Linked DNA regions of Lonchura striata. The main gene of each other region encodes a partner of the protein of the gene in region 2 in a complex. Links are inferred from orthologs where the notes say so. Each region holds a gene or a part of one and is shown on either strand. Other genes may lie near its edges. The genes, in order: WWC1, LATS1 and NF2.

Region 1 (7,242 bases), on a different chromosome or scaffold from region 2:
ATCTTTGATGCAGGTGTACAAAGTGCCAAGGATCGGGAAGGCAGCACAGAGTAAACTTGTAGCCGAGTGACGTGTTTGTGGCAGGAATCACAGGAGCTGTCAAAGGTGTCCTGCACTGTATCCTGTCCTTCCGAGGCAGAGCCCGGCTGACAGAGTTTCCTGCCCTGCAAACGATGCTGGCAAGGATGCTGCCCTGTCAGAGCCAGCCTTGCCCATGGTAATGGCCTGAACATTTGCAATGGTGTGAATAGTGACCCGTGGCTTGGTAGAGCCCTGACCCAGGAGTGGCTGCCAGGCAGTCTGTCTGTCCCACAGACTGCAGCAGCTCCCCCCGGGTCACAAGAGCCCTGTGTAATGGCCTCACCACTGAGGACTTGACCACCATTGAGTCTTTTCCAGCCTCAATGAATCTGTGTGATTCTATTGCATCTTGTTTCATGAACAAACTACTCAGAAACTTCTTATGACTGACTTTCAAGAAGATAAAATCCAGCCAGCAGTTTTCCTGGTGTACTGGGGAACCCAGCTGCTGCACGGATCCCATTTAATGACCTGTGTTTAATGGTGACCTTGTCGCAGGAAGATGTGACCCTCTCCATCCCTCACATCCCTCCTCGGCCACACTGCCCTGCGTGGGACAGCCCTGTGCCACACATTCCCTGTGACTGGACACAGGGACACAGGGACAGATGTCTCATCTGGAACGAGGGGTGCTGGGACCAGTGGGACACCAGGCATGGTGCAGCCAGCACCTGCCAGAGCAGCAGGATGGCTTTGCGGATGCCAGCTGCCTTTGCTTTTTATTTAAGGCCTCCAGCAATGGGTCTTTTAAGGAGTAGTTTGAAAGAAAACAATGAAGTGGCTTTGCCAGTGTTTACAGAAAATCCCTTTCATGTTGGTACTGAAAGTACAGCAGGTTGTGTGCGTTCTTCCCTGCCTCCTGGGCACCTCTGCTCTTCCTGCTGGGCTGGAAACAGCTTCTGAAAGCAGGAAGGCTTCAGGTTACTTCCACAATGAAATGTTCCATTGCTCCTAACCCGTTTTTGACTGTTCTAAAAAATAAAGGTGCATTTGGAAAGGGAAACAAATTGACATACAGTTTGGGGGTGGGCAGGATAGGGAAGGGCCTTTTTAGAACAGTAAGGGAGCTCTCCACAGAAATGATACTGTGTTTCAAGTTGAAAAATACTGGCGGTTTTAAATAAAATGTAGCATTTTGGCTAAATGTAATTGCTTTCTGGTAATCGAATTTAAACCCATTTTCCCTCCTATTGCAGTTCAGATATCTGAAGGTGTTAGCTAACAGACCAATACTGTGCCTCAGCCACTTTTCACCTTTGAGTTTTTGTTATTTGCACTCAATTAAGAATAGAGCTTCAGGTGTCAAGTACAAAATTAAAGACTTTTGAATGTATTAGGAAAAAAGAAACCCAAGTATCAAGCAGCCAGCTGCTCTAAAACAGAAAACAGCAGCAGATAAAGACAGCTCCTGTTACTGAGCAGTTTGTAACCAGCCTGTTGTGGACTCTGGTGGGATTGGGGTGCAGCACATGAGGTCATGCTGGAGATGTTGACCGAAGGGCAAAAAAAAATTCATTTTCTGCAGACTTTGTTCTCTGCTCTGCTCTTCCTTTTCACATAGCTAAGAGCTTACCTACAAACCAAATCGCCCTCTTCTTTGCTCACAAGAAAACAATCACCTGTTTGTTTATTGTTTTACAGTTCAAACAGACTCTGATAACGCTGAATTCCTTTGTTGTGAATGTAAGTGGTAAAAGGGAGTAAGTTATCATATGCACATTCCTGATTACGTTTGTAAATTCATATGGTTCAACGACAGGTTGGGTTTTTTTCTGAGTTAATAAATAAAGAGGAGTGGACAAATAAAATCTTTTGACTTGAGTCAGAACTACCTGCAAATATTTTCTGAGGTATTTATTTCAAAAGCAATTATGTTAAAAAAAAATGCACAAATACTTTCTTCCTAAATAGAGTTGATGACATCTGGAACAAAAAAAAGGGTATTCAGTCAGCTTCTTTACATACAGCCTTTTGCTATATGCTCTAAATATGCTCTGAAAATTTGAAGAAAAAACTTTAAAATAAACATGCCTTTTGGAAGTGCCTCTATGCTGGAACATATGACCACAAAAACAGGACCATGAAAACACATCATAATTTATTATCACTTTGCTGTTTACTTCTCTTGTAATATTTAAAAGCATTGGTTGCTGCTGATTTTTTTTCTTATTGCCACATTTTCCCTTTTTAAATGTCTTGAGCACTTTGCTGAGCGCTTTACAAAGACAGAAACACGATTATCCACAAAATTAAAAGCAGAAAAGAGAAACTAACAGCCAGAGTGAGTAGCCCAGTGCCCCACAGAAATGCAATGCCCTCCGCTGGCGCGGGCCCAGGGCTCCCAGCACTGCCAGTGTCTGCTGGCTGGAGTGGCGCTGCTCCCAGTGCTCCCTGCCGAAAAAAACCACAAGCCCTGCTCAGAGCTGTGGACAGAAGCAGTGTTTATTCATTTAGTCTTCACTTATTATTAATTTAAAAGCCTTGTGTATAGTGTTGTTCATAATAGCAACTTATTTAGTAGCTCACACCAAGTCTGGCTTCAGATAAAATGGGGTTAAACCAGGCTATTTTCCAAATGCCTCACTTTCAATTTTACTTGTCTTCATTTTCTTCCCTGCTCAACCACTTCATCGGCCAACTGCTACCACATTCTGTTTCGGCCTCCAGAGGATTAGCAGCTCTGACTCTCAGCAGGCTGTCAGAAAGCCTGATAGGAAAAATCCCACAGAATCTGCCACAAAAGTGAGATGTTATTTCTAATTGTCTTTTTCACTTTTACTTTTCCTCTCCAGCCTTTCGAGGCTCTCCTCTTCCCATCCTCCAGTCTCCTTTTCCACCCGTGTGCTTGGCAGGGATCCCTGCTCCATTCTGCGCTTCAATAGCTGCAGCTCTACAAAGCCTCTCGCTTTGCCCCTGCCCTCGGCAGGGGGAAGGCGGCGTTGGTGCTGCTCGCCAGGAAAGTGCCACCTCACACACAAGTGCGCTCCTGCCACGCTGGGCACATCACCCGCCGCAGCCCACGGCCCCATCCCGTGCCACCCATGAGCTCTTACTGTGACACTTTGTCACGGGTGTCTGTTCCAGCCCAAATGACTGAAATGGGAGAGAAGGCTGTGCAGGGCATGTCCTCATCGCTGCTTCCATGCTGCAGGGCAGCTGTGCCGGAGCCACGCTCAGGCACCGGCAGCGGCTCTCGGGAAGGGTCCGTGCCCGCGGGGCGGGCTCCATCACCGTCCCTGCGGCGTGCGGCTGTACCGGGCTGTCTGTGCCACCCCAGCTACTTTTGTAACCCGGCTTCCCCGTGGTCCGAGTGGACCCAGGTTCCGGCTGCCAGGAGTTTTCCCTCTGGAACCCACAGAAAGTCACCCCCGTGGGCTGCTCCCATGGCTCCTGGCTGCCGGCCGGCCCTGCGGGGAGCCCACCGCGGCCGAGCCGGGTTACCCGAGGGCAGTGCCACCGGAGCCGGGCCCAGGGGCGCCCGAGCTGCTGCGCCCGTCCGTGCGATGCCAGCACCGGCACCCCGCGGCCGTGTCCCCCAGGGCACCGAGCAGCCCCGGCCCCGGCCCGGTGCCCCGGCCCCGCGGGGCCCCGAGCCCCGAGGCTGCCCCGCGGCGCTCGGGGGCGCGCAGCCCGCGGGGCCGAGCGGGCCGCGGCCGTGCCGGGCGGGGGCGGGCCCGGGGCGGGCCCGGGCGGGGGCGGTGCCGCCGCGGAGTCGCGGGCCGGCCGCCGGCGGAGCAGGAAATGGAGGCGTGAGCGGGCGGAGCGGCCGGGGCTCCGCGCCCAGCGCTGACCGCGGGCTCGCCGCCGCCGCCCTCCCGCCCCGCCCCGGCCCGCCCCCGCCGCGGGGCCGGCATGTGAGGCTGCCCGGCGGCGGCGCCTCCCTGCGCGGCTGGGCCGGCGCGGCCCCCGCACCGCTGCGCGCCGCCCGCGGGAGGGGAGCCCCGGCACGGCCCCGGAGCGCAGCGCGGCCGTGCATGGGGCGGCGCGGACCATGCCGCGGAAGGAGCTGCCGCTGCCCGAGGGCTGGGAGGAGGCGCGGGACTACGACGGGAAGGTGTATTACATCGACCACGGCAGCCGCACCACCAGCTGGGTCGACCCCCGCGACAGGTGGGCGGCGGCGGGCGGGGTCCCCGCGGGGTGCGGCAGAGCCCGGCCGGTCCCCGCCGCCGTCCCGCGGCTCCGCTCGGGCTCCGCGGCTCGGCAGGGCAGGGCGGGACGCGGCGGCGTTACCTGCGGGCCTGGCCGGGCAGCGGCGGCCGGCCAGCACCGGGAGCGGAGGGATGAGGGGGCTCAGCGGGTCGTGTCGCCGCCGTGCGGGCTCCGTCCGCGGCCGGCCCGGCCGTGCCGTGCTGCGGAGCCGCAGCGCACGCTGCGAGCGGCGCGGCCATGCGGCCCTTGCGGCTCGGAGCCCGCCCGGGGAGCAGCGGGGGCTCCGTGCGGGGGCTCGGGACGAGGTGGGGTCGCAGAGGGTTCAACGAGCCCTGTCCTGCATCGTGGCTCATCTCTGCGAGCAGCTACGTGGCCTCATCGAGCTTGGCCGTCGCGGAGGTCACTGACTTCAGGGTGTGTCTCGGATCGCCCCTCTTTGCCGCCGCCTTCCCTGCGGTATCCCCTTGCTCCTGCTCGCTCCGAGTAGTTCTTTTCCTGCAGCGCTGACTTGGAAAAGTAAGATAAACAGAAAACAGGGTGCTGCTCAATACCGAGGTCATTTCCAAGCAACACTCTGTCCTAGCATGTTGTAGTTCCATGCTTGAGGCAATCATGGTGAGCCAGAGCACGGGAGTTTGGACGTGCAGGAAGCTCAACTACTCAATCACTACTGAAATTAGAAGTTTTTAAATTTCTCATTTAATACTTTGTTAGGTGAAGTTCGCAAAAACAGGAACTCAAAAATCCATCCCAGCGAGTTGGAAATTCCAACAATCTGAACTATGCAGTTTGTTGTTGATAAATTTCACACACTTCCCCATCTGACAGCGAGCGTTTTCCTTGTGGGGCAGAAAGGTTAATTTCTGAATCTGTGTTCTTTTCTTCCCCTTGCTCTAGCGATCAGTTCCCTGAAGGGGCTTCCATTCTCGGTGGGATGTCAGGACTTTGCCTTGCTCCGTTTACTTAGATGGGCTTTTTGTTAAGCATGGAAGTGAATGATTGTCCAGTTTTACAAGATTTCAAGGAGTGTTCTGCATTCCAGGAATAATCCTTGTGTGTACTGTACACAAATGTAACCTGCTGCCAGCCAGGGCTTTGGAACTCGTCTTGGGGTTCAGTTTTAGGAATGTGGCTGAGAAGGGCCAGTAACAGAGTTGTTCCAAGTTGTTTCTTTAACCTTCATAAAAGTCAATGGAAGCTAAAATTAGAAATGCTTTCCTGGCATCCTTATTTTGTTCAGAGAATGAAGACAAGTGAGAAATCTAATAGGCCTAATGCAGGCTTATAAAAATTCTTGTGTGTCCTTGGCTAGTGATTCAAGAATGACAGAAATGACTAAATGGGTGCCTTATTTAGCCATGTGTTCTGAGCTGTCGCAGAATCTACCTGCTCACCGCTGCTAGAGGAGAATAATCAAACACACTCTGATAACTCTTATCGCATGACACTTGTTGTGCACATAGAAATACACCTGAATACACGTGGCCCTGACGAGCTTTGCATCTGAGTCATCTTCCAGTACTGCTACCAAGGGAACTGCCCCTGGAAATCCACAAGGTTTTGAAGAATCTGCTGGTCCACAGTAGAACAACTATGACCCAACACCTACCCATCATTTAGTGGACCATGAGCTTTGATGAGCTGAAATTGTTCTCCGCCATACAGGAAAGAAGTTTCTTTTCCAAGTAATTACCACTGCCTGTGAAGCCCAGTTGATAGGGGATTTTTCATCAGATCATAAGATGCCTGTTCCCTGTAGGGGAGTGAACTTGCATTTACACAATTCACATTGAACTTTATCACTGTATTTTAAAGTTTAAATGATTGAAAGCTTAGCCTTTTACAGGTCATATTTAAAATTGCTGCAGCTGATACGTGGGTTTGTGAAGTTGCTACAGTGCTCTGTGTGCTGTTACACATTCTGTCTGTAACCCAGCATAAAGCAATAGGTAATGGGTAGCATGGCTGTAGAAATGCAAGTTTGAGGAATGTGGAGGAAGAAGTGTGTTAGGGCTCACTCTGAACCCAGGGCCAGCAGGGACCTTTGTAAACCTGATCAGCGAGTAGCAAGTGAAAGATAGAACACAGATGTTTAAACCTTCCCTAAATATTTCATTCTAGCTTAATTTAGTGGAAATAAACATGAGCAGGGATACTATCTACCTTCAGGGCATGAGCCATGCCATTGTTTAGTGGCAGCAGGTTTGCAGTCCTGCTGAGGTTGGTTTAACAGGCTGCCAGGGAAGCAGACCTGACTGTGGGCTGTGGCAGGGATGGAGAGGCAGAGGGTGAAAGGTGGGACCTCAGCTGGCCCTGGGCTGTCAAATCAGAAGGGGCTGGTGCTTTTCCAGTTCTTGTTTAACTCATTACTCCAGTCCTGCTGATGGGCTGTTAGACTTGGCCAGGAGGAGGTCCCTGGCACCTGGTGGCATCTCGCTATCCTGCAGAGCTGACCCAAGTGATGCCCAGGTGCCTGGAGCCTTGGTTGAAGCAGTTGCATGTCAGAGCACTTTTACCTTGTTTAAGACTCAGGGTGTCCTCCGAAGCCTGTGGATGTTGGAACATTTTGGGAAATAATCTAAGATTAAATAATCTGAAGAGTTTTGTGATTTAACTGTTGCTGAGCCTGTGGTGTGGTTTAACAAGGTACTTTGCATTGCAGGAATTTCAGGTTAAAAAGCTCTAAGGTAATTCTTCTGAACAGGTGGGGAGAAAACCCATATTCTGCTGTGTTTTGCCTTTTGTAAGAGGAAGCTCACATAGCTGCCTTTTTTGGTAGATCTGTTGAAAATTTGATAATTCAGGAATGAAATACAGTGTGACAGGAGATCAAACCTTATTGAGCTGGAGGAGAAAATTTGTCATTCCTGGTTTTTAAAACTAAGCACAACCTTTCAGGTCTGCACCAGTACATACCAGCTGGTAAACCATGCCAGAGAGCTGTCTCAGTTGCTTTCTTAACGCAGAGGGTGCCTCTGCTTTGGAAGCTGCTGTGCTGGTGGCCAAACA
Region 2 (7,235 bases):
GCATTTGATCAGAACGGCTGTGCTTCTAGCAGGGTAGTTGTATACACAACCATGGAAGCTAGTGCAGATAGAGTAAAGCAAAATGCAGATACTAACAAACTTGAAAAAATGAGGAAGAAGGGGAGACTCAGCATTCATTTGTTGTCTTCACAGTGCTGAAACAGCTCACTTTCCTGGTAACTATGTGAACAGGACAGCAATTAATTTTATGCAGAAAATCCTGTGATTTGATGCTACGTTTAAATTAAAGGAGTAAAAGTATTTCTTGATATTAAATTTTACTGACTTAAATGTCTTCTGCAGTTGTGGTATTTAGACACAAAATAATGTGTGTCCTGGGAAGGAATGCACGCTATGTGCGGATTTAAACTTAACAGCAGGAGGGAATATGACATGATAGTATGCAAAATGCCTGAATTCACATAAGACCTTAACAATTTTCACAGTACTAAAAATGCAACAAAATAGCATCTTTTTCTTTGTTTTTCTTCTCTACCACTTTACCCCTGCCAGCAGAGGGAAAACTGCAGTATATAACTTAGGATGGGGCCTTTCAATTAAAAATGAAAGGTTTTGATGGAGGCATGGGTTCTTGTAAATACATGTCTATATCATACTATCCAAATACTTTGATTGAAGTACTTGAGACTTCTTCTAAAGTGGTTCTGTTTGATATTTCCAGTGTGGGAAGTTCACTTCCATCCCTCTGACCCTGATCATTTATTCACGTGTTCTGAAGATGGATCTCTTTGGCACTGGGATACTTCCACAAATGTATCTGAAAAACCATCTTTCCTTCATCAAGGTAAGGATGTTTGAAGTCCATCTGCACAGAATTTGTCAGTTGGTAACATCATTACAGTCAGTGTTCTCACATGACCCAATTAATAACACAATCTTAATACAGAAAATTAAAAGCAGCTTTCTTTTCTTAGAAAGCAAGCTTAGATAAGCACTTTTCTTGGATAAACACTTGAGAAAAACTACTTATACGGCAAACAGTTGTGCAGGGCTTTTCATGGTCTGGTTTGGTTTTTTTTAATCTGCTACCCTCTGACCAATGTGTGAAGGGTAGACTATATTCACTTAAAAATCATCTGTATGTAGAAAAGACACAGAGACAGCCTGACTGACATTTTTGAGTCTCCAAGGGAGTTACACTAACTTAGAATACAAAAATAATTGATAGGTTAATGAGACAGTAGAATTATGAATTTACAATTCAGGGTAATAATTGGAATTTTCAATAAATGAAACATTTTTGATCCTTTTGCATGGTGGCAGGATTTTAAAGTTATGATACTGACTTTTAATATATGCATTTATTTTCACATTCTAATCACAAAGACTGCTAAGTGCTTGCCACATTAGACAATAGTGGGGAAACTTTTAGATGTCACCTGTTGCCTTTGGCCTCAAAGTTGTCATTCAAAGTTTTATCTATGGAAATTATAGGATTACTAATTCAAGTTGGACTCTGCATGTTTTCAAGTATATGAAGTATAAATCCTTCAGCATCACTTCCAACACCTGCTAATCTTATGCTGAATGATGGTTCTTACAGTATGAGACTTCAATTTGAAAAATTCAAAGTCAAATACAGATTTATCACTTGCTGCAAAGTATGGAGGAAGAGCAGTAGGGAATAAGTGTTATTGTCGCAAGTTGAAAACCCCAAATAGAGGAAGACACTCTATAAACAGACGTGTTCTTGTACCCTTGCTTTAGTATCTGGCTAAAGAAACTTGCAGGTACTTACACCGTCCGGTGAGATGAGTTAATAGCTGTTGTGATATATTTGTCTTAACTGAGGGTAGAGCTGGTAGATAATTTTTGTAATTATTTCAAGTACTTGATTTTTTAAAGTTTCTTTTTCCTTAATTGACATCTCAACTACTCTGAAAACTGACTTAAATGTAATATTTTCATTATGTCTGACCCATATCTACTGTGTTTCTCCAAATTCTGAGAATATATAAACAGAATTGAAATTTATTTCTTTGTCTTCCTTCTTTCAGGAGGAAGAAGCACTGCCTATCTTTCCCACAGTACCATTAACCAGTCTGTAGTAAGTGCCTGGCTAAGCAGTGATCCGACCAAAGACCGCATGGAAATCACCAACCTGATTCCAAATCAGACTTTGTCTGTGAATAGTTTAGACGTTCTAGGACCATGCCTGGTATATGGTACTGACGCGGAGGCTATTTATGTGAACAGACACCTTTTTGCATGAAGTGACTGTGGGATCCCTTTGAAGTATTGACCAGCTTGAAGTACTGGGAAATGTCAGGTTCATTCTTAACGCTACTCACTAGTCTGTTGTTGGCGTGTGTGGGAGAGGCATCAGCTTGGTCCTGGTGCTGTGGAAGAAGTGAGGTACTTCACATTCTGACAGCTGTCACTTGATGCTCCAGGATGGGTAACTGAGCAAGCTTACATGCCATTTCTTACCTACTGCCTGCTTAGTTTTGACAAGCAGGAAAGTAGTCACTAAGGGCAAAATCTTTGCTGCAAAGTGATGTCCATAATACACATGTGCATAAAAACAGAAGAAAAGGTAAACCCTGAATTTTTATTTTTCCCTGTAAAGATATTTTTCAAGTATCATTTCTAAAGCAAAACCGTGGGCTTTGTGGAAATTCTTTTTATGTCACCTGAAAGAGATGGGTTTTTTTTTTAAGCTGAGTTTTTATATATATAGGGGAACATAACTGTTTATGTTGGTTCATGAGTTGGAAGGAAAACAGTTAAAGCTATGAAATGTGAAAGGTTCTATAGGAATCTGAGCATTATAGCAACATTATTTTGAATTATTCACAGCTTCATCATGGATGCTACATGTTAAAACTTGATAATACACCAGTAAATCTCCAAACAGAAAAATGGGGTTTATAATTCAGTAATAATTGACAGATGTGTTGGCTGTGTTTTCAGGTGTAAAAGTAAGACTTTCTAAACTTGAGACATAGTCTTTGTCACAAATTCACATCTGGGTTATTGAAATCTTTGTAAAGTTTTAAATTTTGTTATTAGCATTGTATCTGCTTTTTGTTACAGAGAGCCCTTTCTCTTTTTATTAAAAAGTTTTGCACAAGAGTAGTTGTCTGACTTACTAAAATAATTCAAATAGCTGTGCTTGCAGGAATGTAATTGGATTGAGCCTGGGTATTGAGCCTGAAGGATGGAGAAACCTCTGTGTTTGGGCAGGAACAGGTTAGTTATGAGGTGTTACACGGCATTTCCACCATAACCACTCTAGAGTGGTACTTTAAATCACGTCGGCGCGAGGGGCCTGGGTCTGCTGGGGCTGGAACACCTTACCTGATGCACATCTGTGTGTGTCTGGCTGCAGGAGCTGGATGGGGCGCTGGGGACAGGGCAGTCCTCCCTTTGTGTGGGGCAAGGTGTACTGAGTTGCCAGTGAGCTCCTTAGAGCAGCTTAAAGTTTTGCTTCCCGATTTATTTGAAATGTAAAAGATGGAAATGAAATGGATCACGCCAAGCGCTAACCGGTGGGTTTTCCTTCCTGTTGGTCTGTAACGAGTCCATCATTCGGGCATCAGTTGAAACACGAGGCTCGGCGGAACTTTCTCCTCCCCATTAAAAGAGAATGGGAAAACCAGAAGATGGGGATTTGTCCGCGGTGCCCGGCGCTGTCCCGGGAGAGCCGCGCTGCGCGGGCGCGCAGGGGTTACAGCGGGCCGCAGCTCCATCCGGGAGCGGCGGGAGCCGCGCGAGGCAGGCCGGGAGCTGCCCACATCCGGGCGGCTCCGCGCCGGGGACACCGACAAAATGGCGGCGCCGAACTGAGCGGCCCGGGGCGGCGGCGGGCGCTGGCGGAGGGACCGAGCGGGCGCTGCCGGCATCGCCGAGGGGCGGAGGAAGGGCGGAAGGAAGGGAAGGGCCGCGGCCGGTCGGCGCCGCGCGGGCGGGGCCGAGCTCCGGGCGCCCGGGGCGCTGCCCCGCCGCCTTGTCGCCTCAGGTAGAGTCCGCCGTGCGCGGGGCCGGGGCGGTAGCGGGCCCGCTCCGCTCGGCCCGACGTCCTGGGGCCTCTGCGGGACGCAGCCGTGGCAGCAGCGACGTCAGGGCACGGCCTGGGGCCGGCGAGGCGGCAGAAGCGCTGGTGTCCCAGCGGGGTACATTCGGGGTGCTCCTCCCGGCCGGGAAAGCCTCCTGCCTGCCTGGTCCTTGGGAGCCGGGTGCTGCTGTCCTGCAGCGATCCGTGCCGGCCTGAGCCAGCGCAGCGGGGCTCTGGCTGCCCTGCAGGTGTTAGCCCTGAAGATCGCTCCCAGGTGCGCCTCAAATGACTCCTGCTGCTCCCGGGAGTACATGTGTACGTAGAGAAGCTGCATCCTGCTAAAGGAGATAGCAGAGCGTAAGAATGGAAACAAACCGAGCGAGTGCACCAATGTTCCTAGTGTTCATCTGGTCTCTGGTTCTTCCCAGCTCTGGCTTCTCTGACCATATGCAGTTGTGCTTATGTGCTAATTTGGGGGTCCAGTTTTCTCCTTATCCTATGAAAACTTTTTGCATTGGAAGTGCATCCTTTTGGGGAATTGCTGTTGCAGCTCAATGGCTTGTTACCTGAAAGAAGAGCTTCCTTTAGTCGGTCTGAACAAGTCCTTACAAACTTAATTTTATGATTTGTGAGGTTTCTGTTACTTTGTTTATCCCTAGCAATGAAGCATTGTGATTATGTATAAGCTCTTACAATAGGTACATGAGGGAGGGCACCTACATACATTAATATGTGATGTTCAGTACTCAGTTGGCAATATGGGCATTGAAAGTATTTTTATAAGGAAATTTTATAACTTATTTTTATAAGTTAGATTACAAAGCTGTGTATTTTTACCCTCAGAAAATCATGGGAATCATTGACAGTTGCATGTTGCCATTCAGAGCATCACAGGCTGGTTTGGGTTGGAAGGGACCTTAGAGATAATCTCTTGTCAGCTCCCTGCCCCTAGACCAAGTTGTTCCAAGCCTCATCGGGCCTGGCCCTGAACACTTCTGAGCTTTCATCCAAGCATTTATATAAATATAAGTCCAATCTTTTATGATTATAATGTAGAAAAAAACATGATGGGCGTTCTTTTCCCTTACAGTTTGACCTGTAGAAGAAAATACTGTATTCCCATATTTTGAAAAGAAGTGAAAGATTATTTTTTTCAATTCCTCAATTCCTTTAGGGAAGAAAATTTAATCAGCAAAAACAGCTGCATTGACAAACAGATTATTTAAGGACACAAAACTACAAGAGGGAATAGACATCAGTTCTCTTGGGTACAGTTGGTGTTTGGTACTTAGAAGTACAAAGTTTGGATACTCACTTGAGATACTTACTCAACACTCTCTTCCTTTAAAATGTGTGCCAGTGTCTATAAGCAGAGGTGACTTTTGAGTTTTGAGATTTATATATAAAGCAAGGTAAACTCTAGTAATTCCTGTTCTCTGGAGGACTAATTTAATTTGTTTTCTAAGAATTAAGACTTAGTTTCACATGTACATGCTGGTACCCATCAGTGCTGTCAAAAGGAACAACCCACCAAAAAATGTTATTTATTTGGCTAAGTTCCTTAGCTTGGTTCATGCTGTCTGTCTGACCTTACAGTTATGCTGTCTGTGGTAAGTGGTGGGAGATAAGTGGACTGGCTGGTTTACACTTCTAAACTGCTGCTAAAAATTTAAGTTGGAGTGCAGCTTTATTTCCCAAGACTGCTCCTGATCTATGATTTTAGTTTCCTGTTAATTTAACCTTGATTTCTCCTAGAGGGTGTTAGATTTATCTATGCCAGCTACCCGAGGTGTAACTATGAAGTGAATATGGAAATACCAGATGAAATTTCTAAAATATGTCAGTGCAAAACCCCATTTTCTCCTGAATTCCAGGCCTTTGGAATTTGTTAAAAACTTGTGTATGGGTATTTTGTCAAGTTCTTACTTAATTTTCTTTGGAAAAAGTATTTTCAATGTGGTCTTAAATACGGCATGTTTGGAAAATTATTTTGAAAGTGGCCAAAATTAAATTACATTTTAATAGCTCTCATGCTCTACTTTCTGCTGATTTCTTAATACTTTGGGCAATATTTCACTGTTGATTATTAAAATTCACTCATGTCTGATGATCTCTTCCTTATTCAGTGAGCACTGAAGAATTAGATGCTATCAGACTGTATTAAAGAAACATATAGCTCCCCAACTACACTCATTTAAGGTTTCAAAGCTATCACAGTGCAAAGAAGGCTTGTGGTTGCAGTTATACCCCTTAAGGTTTAGAAAGTTTCATAAGAGAAATTCTGTTATTTCTAAAATGGTTCTCCAAGGAGAATGGGATTAAGTGGATATACCTTCAGTGTTACTTTTTGCAGTCCTTTTTTATGTATTACTTCCTAGTTTTCAGGTTTTATTTATATATAGGTAGCATGAGTATTTAATTCATATTATCTGCATGTGTTTCAGACGGTTCTTTTTCCTATTAACTTGTCATATTCTTCCTCAATTGCTTGATCACTGATTGGTTTGTGACAGTGCAAGTATTATAGAAATGAAACCTGAATGAAGAAAGAGTGACTTTATTGTAGACTGTAAAATTTTGGTACTTGTTTAATTTATGTCTAATATCAGAAATGCTTAGCAACAAGTAGTGAAGGAACACTGTGTTGGGCTTCAACATTTTTGTTGCCTGTGAAGAAAAGACAGCGCTGAAGCTTTTAGTTTATCTTGCACTATCTTAGTAACTGATCTTCCTCTGTGAAACAGTACGGACTGAAAAAGTTTAATTCCATGGTATTCTAAAGAGGCAAATGCTCTGCAATTTCTTCAGTGTTTCACTGTGGTTGCTTTATCCTTTGCCATGCAGTTGCAGTAATAATTAATGCCCAGCCTGAACACAGAGATTTGAGTTCTCTGCACACACAGGGCTCTTTCCCTGATGAGTCAGCGCCTTCAAAATGCAAACGTTTTTTATTTGGCTTTTGGCAGAAAATTCTGTTTCCCTTACCAAATGTCATAGCTATGCTCTCAGTGAATTTGATGCTTGAGTTGTTAAACAATTTTTCAGTAAAAAAAAAAAAACTGATAAAAATTTTCTTTGTTTCTCTTTCTGCTCTCATTTTCCCTTATGTAAAATAAATTTTAAAATTACTTAACTATTGATGAAGACTGGTTCAAGGAGACTTGAGCTAAGAGACTGTGAAAGCTTCAGAATCTGAACTGTTAAACATATGTAAGTG
Region 3 (7,573 bases), on a different chromosome or scaffold from region 2:
CTGCCCACCCTCCCAGGGAAGAGGCTTCCACATGGCTGTCCAAGGTTCTCAGGAAGGTGAGGCTTTAGCACAGGAATTCAAGAGCTGTGCAAATGTCTACCCTTCCTCCAGATGTTATCAATTAATTAGGTACAGCTCAAGCCTCCAAGATGGAAGTAGCCAAAGGAAGACAATTCAAGATTTCCCCAAACAAATCTGAAGTCTTTAAAGTGAAACCCCAACCGTGATTATTAATCCCCATCACTGTGTTAGAAAGATTAAGATTTCATTTCTAGGAATTATTTTAGATTTAGGCTCAATTTAGAGACGTCAACTGCAAAATAAACATGCAAAGCAGGTTTAATCCCTTAAAATGCACAGCTGGGGATTTCTAGGGAGCAGACTGAAAAATTAACACTGAGAAAGAAAGTGAGTCTCCAGCAGCTACAGCTGGGTCATGGAATATCCTGAGCTGGGAGGAATCCCAAAGGATTATGGAAGACCAACTCCAGACATCCAACAGATCAGCAGCTCTCTGTCCCTGTCAGCACGAGGTGCCACTCACAGGCCACAAAAACACATCTCAAGAGCCCCCAAACTGCAGGATTCCCACTGCACCTCCTTCCTCTCATCGTCCCAAGTGGTTGTGAGGCAGACTTCCCTCTCCTTCCTGGCCAAAGGCACCTCAAAGCACACAGACAGCTGTGTGAACAGAGCTGCTCACTCTTTTCTCTTGGCAAACCTTGGGACAGGGGCCAGACTCCTTCAGGGATGAGCAGCCTGACCCAAAAATCAACTCTGCCACCCCACTGACTCCCAGGAGGGCACAAACTCCACTCCTGGCTCCAGGTCCCACTGTGGGTGTAGAGCAAGCTGAGCCCTTCCCTGGGCCACCTTCCCACCCCAGGCACTCCAGGTGTGTCTGATCCCTGTGCCCCAGGGATGCTTCTGCAGAGTCAGCACAGTGAGGAGCTGTCCCCAGAGCAGGACAAGAACTGGGACAGAGATCCAGCCAGGGAGCTGGACAGCTCAGATGGAGCTTGGATAAAAGCCACACCTCAGAAAGCCACAGAGATGCTGCAAGGGCTGGAGCCCCTCTGCTCTGGAGCCAGGCTGGGAGAGCTGGGGGTGCTCACCTGGAGAGGAGAAGCTCCAGGGAGAGCTCAGAGCCCTTCCAGGGCCTAAAGGGGCTCCAGGAGAGCTGGAGAGGGACTGGGGACAAGGGATGGAGGGACAGGAGACAGGAAATGGCTCCCACTGCCAGAGGGCAGGGATGGATGGGAGATTGAGAAGGTTCCCTGTGAGGGTGGGCAGGCCCTGGCACAGAGTGCCCAGAGCAGCTGTGGCTGCCCCTGGATCCCTGGCAGTGCCCAAGGCCAGGCTGGATGGGGCTGGGAGCAGCCTGGGACAGTGAGAGATGTCCCTGCCCATGGCAGGAGGTGGAACGGGATGAGCTTTAAGATCCCTTCCCACCCAAACCGTTCCACGATTCCATAAAAACTCACTCCTCACCTGCAAGGTGTGAAACAGCCCCATCACCCACCTGCATCCATCTATCCCCCCTCCTGCTCCAATATTCCCTGCTGAAGGACGAGCTCTGAATTCCCTCTGCATCCCCCCTGCACCAGCTCCACCACAAGGAGCCCCCAGCAGGGCCTGAGCTCCTTCCAGCTGCAGGAGTCCCTCTGCAGCAACAAGTTCTTTTGGCAGGAACCTCCCAGGAAAGTCAGCTGGAGATGCAGCAGTTCCACGGCCAAATCCCACGGGAATGCTGCACAAACCCCCCTGATCTCAGCGGGAAGTGACACCCGAAGTGACACGCGGCCACAGCACTAAAATTCACATTTATTTACTTTCCACCATCAGTTATTGCTGCAGCCTTGGGAAACCAGGGAAAACACAGCCAGGACACTCACACTCTGCTGGAAGTGGGAAGCTCACACGGCTGCCCAGAGCAAATCCTTAATCCCAAGGAAAAGCAGGAAGTCCTTCAGGGCTGAGAGCAGATTTCCAGAGCCAGGAAATCGGTGATGACAAACTCCCCTTGGCTGATGGGCGCTGGGATTCTCTCAGGGTTTGGGGCAGGATAATGAAATATAAACTATTAAATGCAGAGGTTGGAGAGGGGTTTCAGTGTTCGTGTGGCCAATCCCTCTGGATCAGCTGAAAAAGCAAAGTTTGGCAGCAACGCCCTGGGAGAACGCCTTACAAGTTCCAAGGGCCCCAAAAAGGGAAATTATCACAGAAAAGCCAGACCCAACCCCCCGGAGCATCCCTCAGCTTCATGGTGAGCTAAGAGCTCAGGAAAATGCCAAAATCCTGTCCTTGGGTGTTTGTGGAGCACCTGGGAGTTGGATTCCTGTGGATTTAAGCCTTGACACAGAGATTCCTCAAGCCCTGTGACAGCCACAGTGTAGTGGTGACTTGGGCTGGGATGGCAGGACAGCGCTGGATTAGAGCCCAAGGGAAGCTGGATTGTAATGAGAATAAAGCTGAATTATAACCAGGATAAAACTGAATTATACCCAGAATTAAGCTGAATTATAGCCAAAGTATAGGATTAATTATAACCAGAGTAATGCCAAATTGCACCCAGGACGAGATCGAATTGTAATCGAAATGAAGCCAAATAATAACCCAAATAAAGCTAAATTGCACCTGGAGTGAAGATGAATAATTGCCAAAATAAAGCTGAATTATAACCAAAGCATAGATGGATAATAACCAGAATAATGCCAAATATACCCAGGCTAAAGCAAAATTATACACAGAAAAAAAGCCAATTTATGACCAAAACAATGCTGAGTTACACACATAATAAGGACTACTGACAACAACAACTAAGCCAAACTATGATCAGAATACAACTGAATTTTACAAGCAATAAACACTGAATCACAACCAAAACAAAGCCAACTTATGACCAAAGCAAAGCCAAATGGTACCGATTCATAACCAAAGTAAAGGTGAGTTATTAACCAAAGAAAAGCCGAATTGTAGGCAGATTGTTGTGCAATTATAACGCAAATGACACCAGGATAAGGCTGATTTATAAGCAGAACAAGGCCGAGCCGCTGCCGGCCCAGGGAACCGGCGGGGGGGGCCGGGAGGGACCGGAGGGGCCTCAGGGCTGGGGGGTGGGGGCCGGGCCCTCAGCGGGACCCCGCGCCCGCGCGGGCCGTCACCTCGCAGCTGAACTCCATCTCGGCGTCCATGGTGGCGATGCGCACGGTGAAGGTCTTGGGCTGCTTGCGCTTGAGGGAGCTGAAGCTCATGCGGGACGCGATGGCCCCGGCCATGGCGGCGCGGCACGGTCAGCGCGGCGGCGGCGCCATGGCGGCCCGGCCCCGCCCCCTCCGCCCCGCCATTGGCCGCGCAGCGCGGCGCGCCCGCCCCTCCGCCCCTCCCAGCCAATAGAAATGGGTGTGCTGAAGAGGCGGGAGGAGAAGCGGCTGTGATTGGGTAGTGGGGACGTCGCTCAAGAGAAAGGGCGGGGTGAGGCGGGGCCATGAAGAGCGGCGTGAGGAAGCGATGTGGCGGGGTGGTGTCGCCCCCTGGTGGCGGGCGGAGCGCTCTGCTGGCGGGGACGAGCGCCAGGACCCGGCACCGGGACACCGGGACACGGGAGGGAGGGACACGGGGACACCGGGACACCGGGACACCGGGACACGGGGACACGGGGACACGGGAGGGAGGGACACGGGGACACCGGGACACCGGGACACCGGGACACCGGGACACCGGGACACCGGGACACGGGGACACGGGGACACGGGAGGGAGGGACACCGGGACACCGGGACACCGGGACACGGGGACACCGGGACACCGGGACACCGGGACACGGGAGGGAGGGACACGGGGACACCGGGACACCGGGACACCGGGACACGGGGACACGGGGACACGGGAGGGAGGGACACGGGGACACGGGGACACCGGGACACCGGGACACCGGGACACCGGGACACCGGGACACGGGGACACGGGGACACGGGAGGGAGGGACACCGGGACACCGGGACACCGGGACACGGGGACACCGGGACACCGGGACACGGGGATACCGGTACACGGGGACACCGGGACACCGGGACACCGGGACACGGGGACACCGGGGCACCGGGACACCGGGACACCGGGAGACGGAGAAACGGGAGGGAGGGACACAGGAGGGAGGGACACGGGGACACGGGGACACGGAGACATGGGAGTCGGGGAAACGGGGACACGGGGAAACGGGGACACCGGAACACTGGGACATGGAGACACGGGAGGGAGGGACACGGGGACACGGGAACATGGGAATCGGGGACACCGGGACACGGGAGGCAGGGACACGGAGGCAGGGACACCGGGACACAAAGACACGGGGATAGGGACACGGCGACCCCGGGACACGGGAGGCAGGGGGGATGTCAGGGGACCCTGGCGTGTCCGGAGCCCGTGGGGTGTCAGGGGTCCGCGGGGTGTCCGGGATCCAGGGATGTCCGGCGTGTCCGTGGGGTGGCCGGGACCCCTGGTCAGTGGGGTGTCCAGGGTCTGTGGGGCCCGGGGTCCCCGGGATGTCAGGGGTCCCCGAGGTGTCCGGGTGTCCGGGATTTGGGGGTGTCCGGGGGGTGTGCAGAGCCCGTGGGGCGTAAGGGTCCTTGGGGTGTCAGGGATCGCTGAGATCTGAGGGTTTTGGGGGTCCGTGAGGTCCTTGGGGTGCCCCCAGTGCCATGGGGTGTCCCCAGTGCCATGGGGTGTCCCCGCAGGACGGGGTTCCCTGGGTGACACGGGGTGCTGCCCCCTCGGTGGTTGCCGGGGCGAGGGGACCCGCGCGGTCCCGGGGGCAGCCGAGCGTGGGGGCAGAGACTGGGACCAGCGCCCGGGGCGGGCGGGGACACGGGGCAGGACCGGGACTGGGATTGGGACAGGGAAAGAGACCGGGATAGGGACCGGGACTGCGGCCGGGACTGGAATCGGGACAGGGACAGGGACAGGGACCGGGGTAGGGACCGGCACTGCGGCCGGGACTGGGACAGGGACCGGGACTGGGACAGGGACCGGGACTGGGATCGGGATCGGGATCGGGATCGGGACCGGGACAGGGACAGGGACAGGGACTGGGACTGGGACAGGGACCGGGACTGGGAAAGGGACCGGGACTCAGACCAGGACCGGGACTAGGACAGGAACAGGGACAGGGACTGAGACAAGGACCGGGAGTGGGACAGGGACCCGGACTGGGACTGCGGCTGGGAACAGGGACCGGGACCGGGACAGGGACCGGGGCCAGCGCGGCGCAACGGGCCGGGACTGGCAGCACTAGCGGGACATCGGACGGGGCTGGGAGCAGGACCAGCTGCGGTAACGGAACCGGGACCGTCCCTGGGATGATGGGACGGTGAATGGGACCCGTCACCAGGGCAAGGGGACGGGACCGCCGCCCCGATCGGTGTGGGATAACGGGCTGGGAACTGGGACGGGCACGGGAGAACGGAACAGGAACCGGGATCCGCTCAGAGTTACCGGCACGGGGATAACGGCAGGGACTGCGATCAGTCCAGGGACACTGGGATGGGAACTGGGACCAGTTTAGGGTTCCTTGGACAGAAACCGGCACCAGCACAGGGGGACGGGGCGGACCAAAATCCGGCAGGAGCAGGAGGGGGAAGGGAGCAGCGGGAGCCGAGAAGCCCCCCCGACACCCCTGGGGGGACTCAGGCGTCCGGGAGCAGCCCCCGCCCCCGCAGCGGGAAGAACGGGGCCTCTGTCCTCATGGGGACAATGGGGACATTGATGGGGACCCCCCCGCCCCCCGCTGCACCCGCAGGACCCCCCATGGCAGAAAGCGACGACCCCGCCCGCCGGGACCCCGCTGGCCCCCGCACCCAGGTGGAAGAAGGGGGTGGGGGCAGCGAGGGGGAAACTGGGGAACCACGGGGGGATGGGGGGGTCGGAGAGGCTGGGGGGGTTTTGGGGAACCCTGGGCACCCGAGGGAGCTCGAAGGGGGCATGTGGAGCATTGGGGTGTGCGGGGGAGCCCAAGACTCCATAGGGACTTACGGGGCACAAGGGGGGGGGGGGGGCTCTGGGCAGCTGGGGGGGCATTGTGGGGTGCAAAGATAAATAGGGGTAGGAGGGCTGGGGGGCTGTAGGGGTGCTGGGGGGCCCTTCCTTGGCCCCCCGCAATGGGTGACCCCCCTGCCCAGCCCTGCCGGCCCGTGCCGAGGGTCCACGCCTTTGGAAAGGGGGAGCAGGCGCTGCGGAGGGACCCCCGCAGCCCCCCCGCCATGCAGGGCTGGCTGCACAAGCAGGTGAGGCAGGGGGCCAGGGGAGGGCTGGGGAGGGGGCTCAGGGGTCGTACGGGGGTTTCTGGGGGGTTTGTGGATTTTGGGAGGACCTGGGGCGGTGGGGAGGAGCTGGGGGGAGGGTCTGGAGTGTCAGGGGGTTATGGGGGTGGGTGTGGGGCTCGGGGGAAATCGGAGGGACTTGGGGGAGGTCGGTGGGGGGTGAGGGAGGGTTGTGGGGTCTGGGGGCTTTGGGGAGATCAGAGACACGTGGTGGGATGGGGCAGCGTGGGGCGGTCATGGGGTCGGAGGTGGAAGAAGGTGCTGGGGGGTTACGGGAGTGAGGAGCTTGGGGGGATCGGAAGGGATTGAGGGGTCTGGGGCAGCAGAGGGTCCCGGGGGGGGGGGATGGGCTGAGGGGGCTCAGCCCCCATCCCCCCACCCCCGCTTCTCAGGACAGCTCGGGGCTGCGGCTCTGGAAGCGCCGCTGGTTTGTACTGGTGGATCTCTGCCTCTACTACTACCGGGGTGAGAGGGGCACGGGGGGCTGGAGACACCCGGGGGGCGTGGGGACCTGGTGTCCCTGGGAGGGGGGTCAGCGATCCCGGGGTGTCCCTGGGTCACTGGGGGGTCCCGGGGGGCTCAGGGGTCCTGGGGTGTTGGGCAGTCCTTGGAGAACCAGGAATCCTGGGGGAATGGGGGGTCCCTGGGGCAGTCAGGGATCCCAGTGGGATCAAGGATCCCTGGGGCATTTGGGGGTCTATGGAGGAATCAGGGAATTCTTGGGGATTTGGGGGGATCTCTGGAGCATTGGGAACTCCTGGTGATTGGGGTCTCTGGAGCATTGGGAACTCCTGGAGATTGGGGTCCCTGGAGCATTGGGAATTCCTGGGGATTGGGGGGGGTCCCTGGAGCATTGGGAATTCCTGGGGATTGGGGGGGGTCTCTGGAGCATTGGGAATTCCTGGGGATTGGGGGGGGTCTCTGGAGCATTGGGAATTCCTGGGGATTGGGGGTCTCTGGAGCATTGGGAATTCCTGGGGATTGGGGGGGGGGGGTCTCTGGAACATTGGGAATTCCTGGGGATTGAGGGGGGTCTCTGGAGCATTGGGAACTCCTGGAGATTGGGGGGAGGTCTCTGGAGCATTGGGAACTCCTGGGGATTTGGGGTCTCTGGAGCATTGGGAACTCCTGGGGATTGGGGGTCTCTGGAGCATTTGGAATTCCTGGGGATTGCGGGGGTGTCTCTGGAGCATTGGGAATTCCTGGGGATTGGGGGTCTCTGGATGGATCAGGGATTCCCCAGGATCGGGGCTCCCTG

The links.
Region 1: the proteins of LATS1 (region 2) and WWC1 are in contact, whole or in part, in a crystal structure (PDB 6J68), measured with the Mus musculus proteins. The link is inferred for Lonchura striata from reciprocal best matches to the Homo sapiens genes LATS1 and WWC1. Residues at the interface, in NP_034820.1 of Mus musculus: Ala546, Glu547, Ala548, Pro549, Ser550, Tyr551, Gly553, Pro554, Pro555, Pro556, Pro557, Tyr558, Leu562, Leu563; in NP_740749.1 of Mus musculus: Asp17, Tyr23, Ile25, Asp26, His27, Arg30, Thr31, Thr32, Ser33, Trp34, Asp64, Val67, Tyr70, Ile72, Asp73, His74, Lys77, Thr78, Thr79, Gln80, Ile81.
Region 3: the proteins of LATS1 (region 2) and NF2 are in contact, whole or in part, in a crystal structure (PDB 7LWH), measured with the Homo sapiens proteins. The link is inferred for Lonchura striata from reciprocal best matches to the Homo sapiens genes LATS1 and NF2. Residues at the interface, in NP_004681.1 of Homo sapiens: Pro69, Lys70, Phe71, Gly72, His74, Ala77, Leu78, Glu80, Ile81, Arg82, Ser84, Leu85, Phe88, Ala89, Asn90; in NP_000259.1 of Homo sapiens: Pro135, Glu136, Ala137, Val139, Leu140, Tyr144, Asn175, Leu176, Tyr177, Gln178, Met179, Met183, Trp184, Arg187, Trp191, Glu206, Ile210, Asp213, Leu214, Glu215.

What each region holds. Positions count from the first base shown.
Region 1 is NC_134617.1:13,832,417-13,839,658, forward strand, and holds the start of WWC1 (protein KIBRA), read left to right. Parts: upstream 1-3,988; 5' UTR 3,989-4,072; coding exon 4,073-4,191; intron 4,192-7,242. UniProt on the Homo sapiens protein: Regulator of the Hippo signaling pathway, also known as the Salvador-Warts-Hippo (SWH) pathway.
Region 2 is NC_134605.1:57,529,607-57,536,841, forward strand, and holds the start of LATS1 (serine/threonine-protein kinase LATS1), read left to right. Parts: upstream 1-3,907; 5' UTR 3,908-3,982; intron 3,983-4,388; exon of another isoform or gene 4,389-7,235. Other genes in the region: nucleoporin Nup43, read left to right, coding at 683-805, 2,019-2,233. UniProt on the Homo sapiens protein: Negative regulator of YAP1 in the Hippo signaling pathway that plays a pivotal role in organ size control and tumor suppression by restricting proliferation and promoting apoptosis.
Region 3 is NC_134620.1:2,944,017-2,951,589, forward strand, and holds the start of NF2 (merlin), read right to left. Parts: upstream 3,322-7,573; 5' UTR 3,279-3,321; coding exon 3,165-3,278; intron 3,099-3,164; exon of another isoform or gene 1,896-3,098; intron 1-1,895. UniProt on the Homo sapiens protein: Probable regulator of the Hippo/SWH (Sav/Wts/Hpo) signaling pathway, a signaling pathway that plays a pivotal role in tumor suppression by restricting proliferation and promoting apoptosis.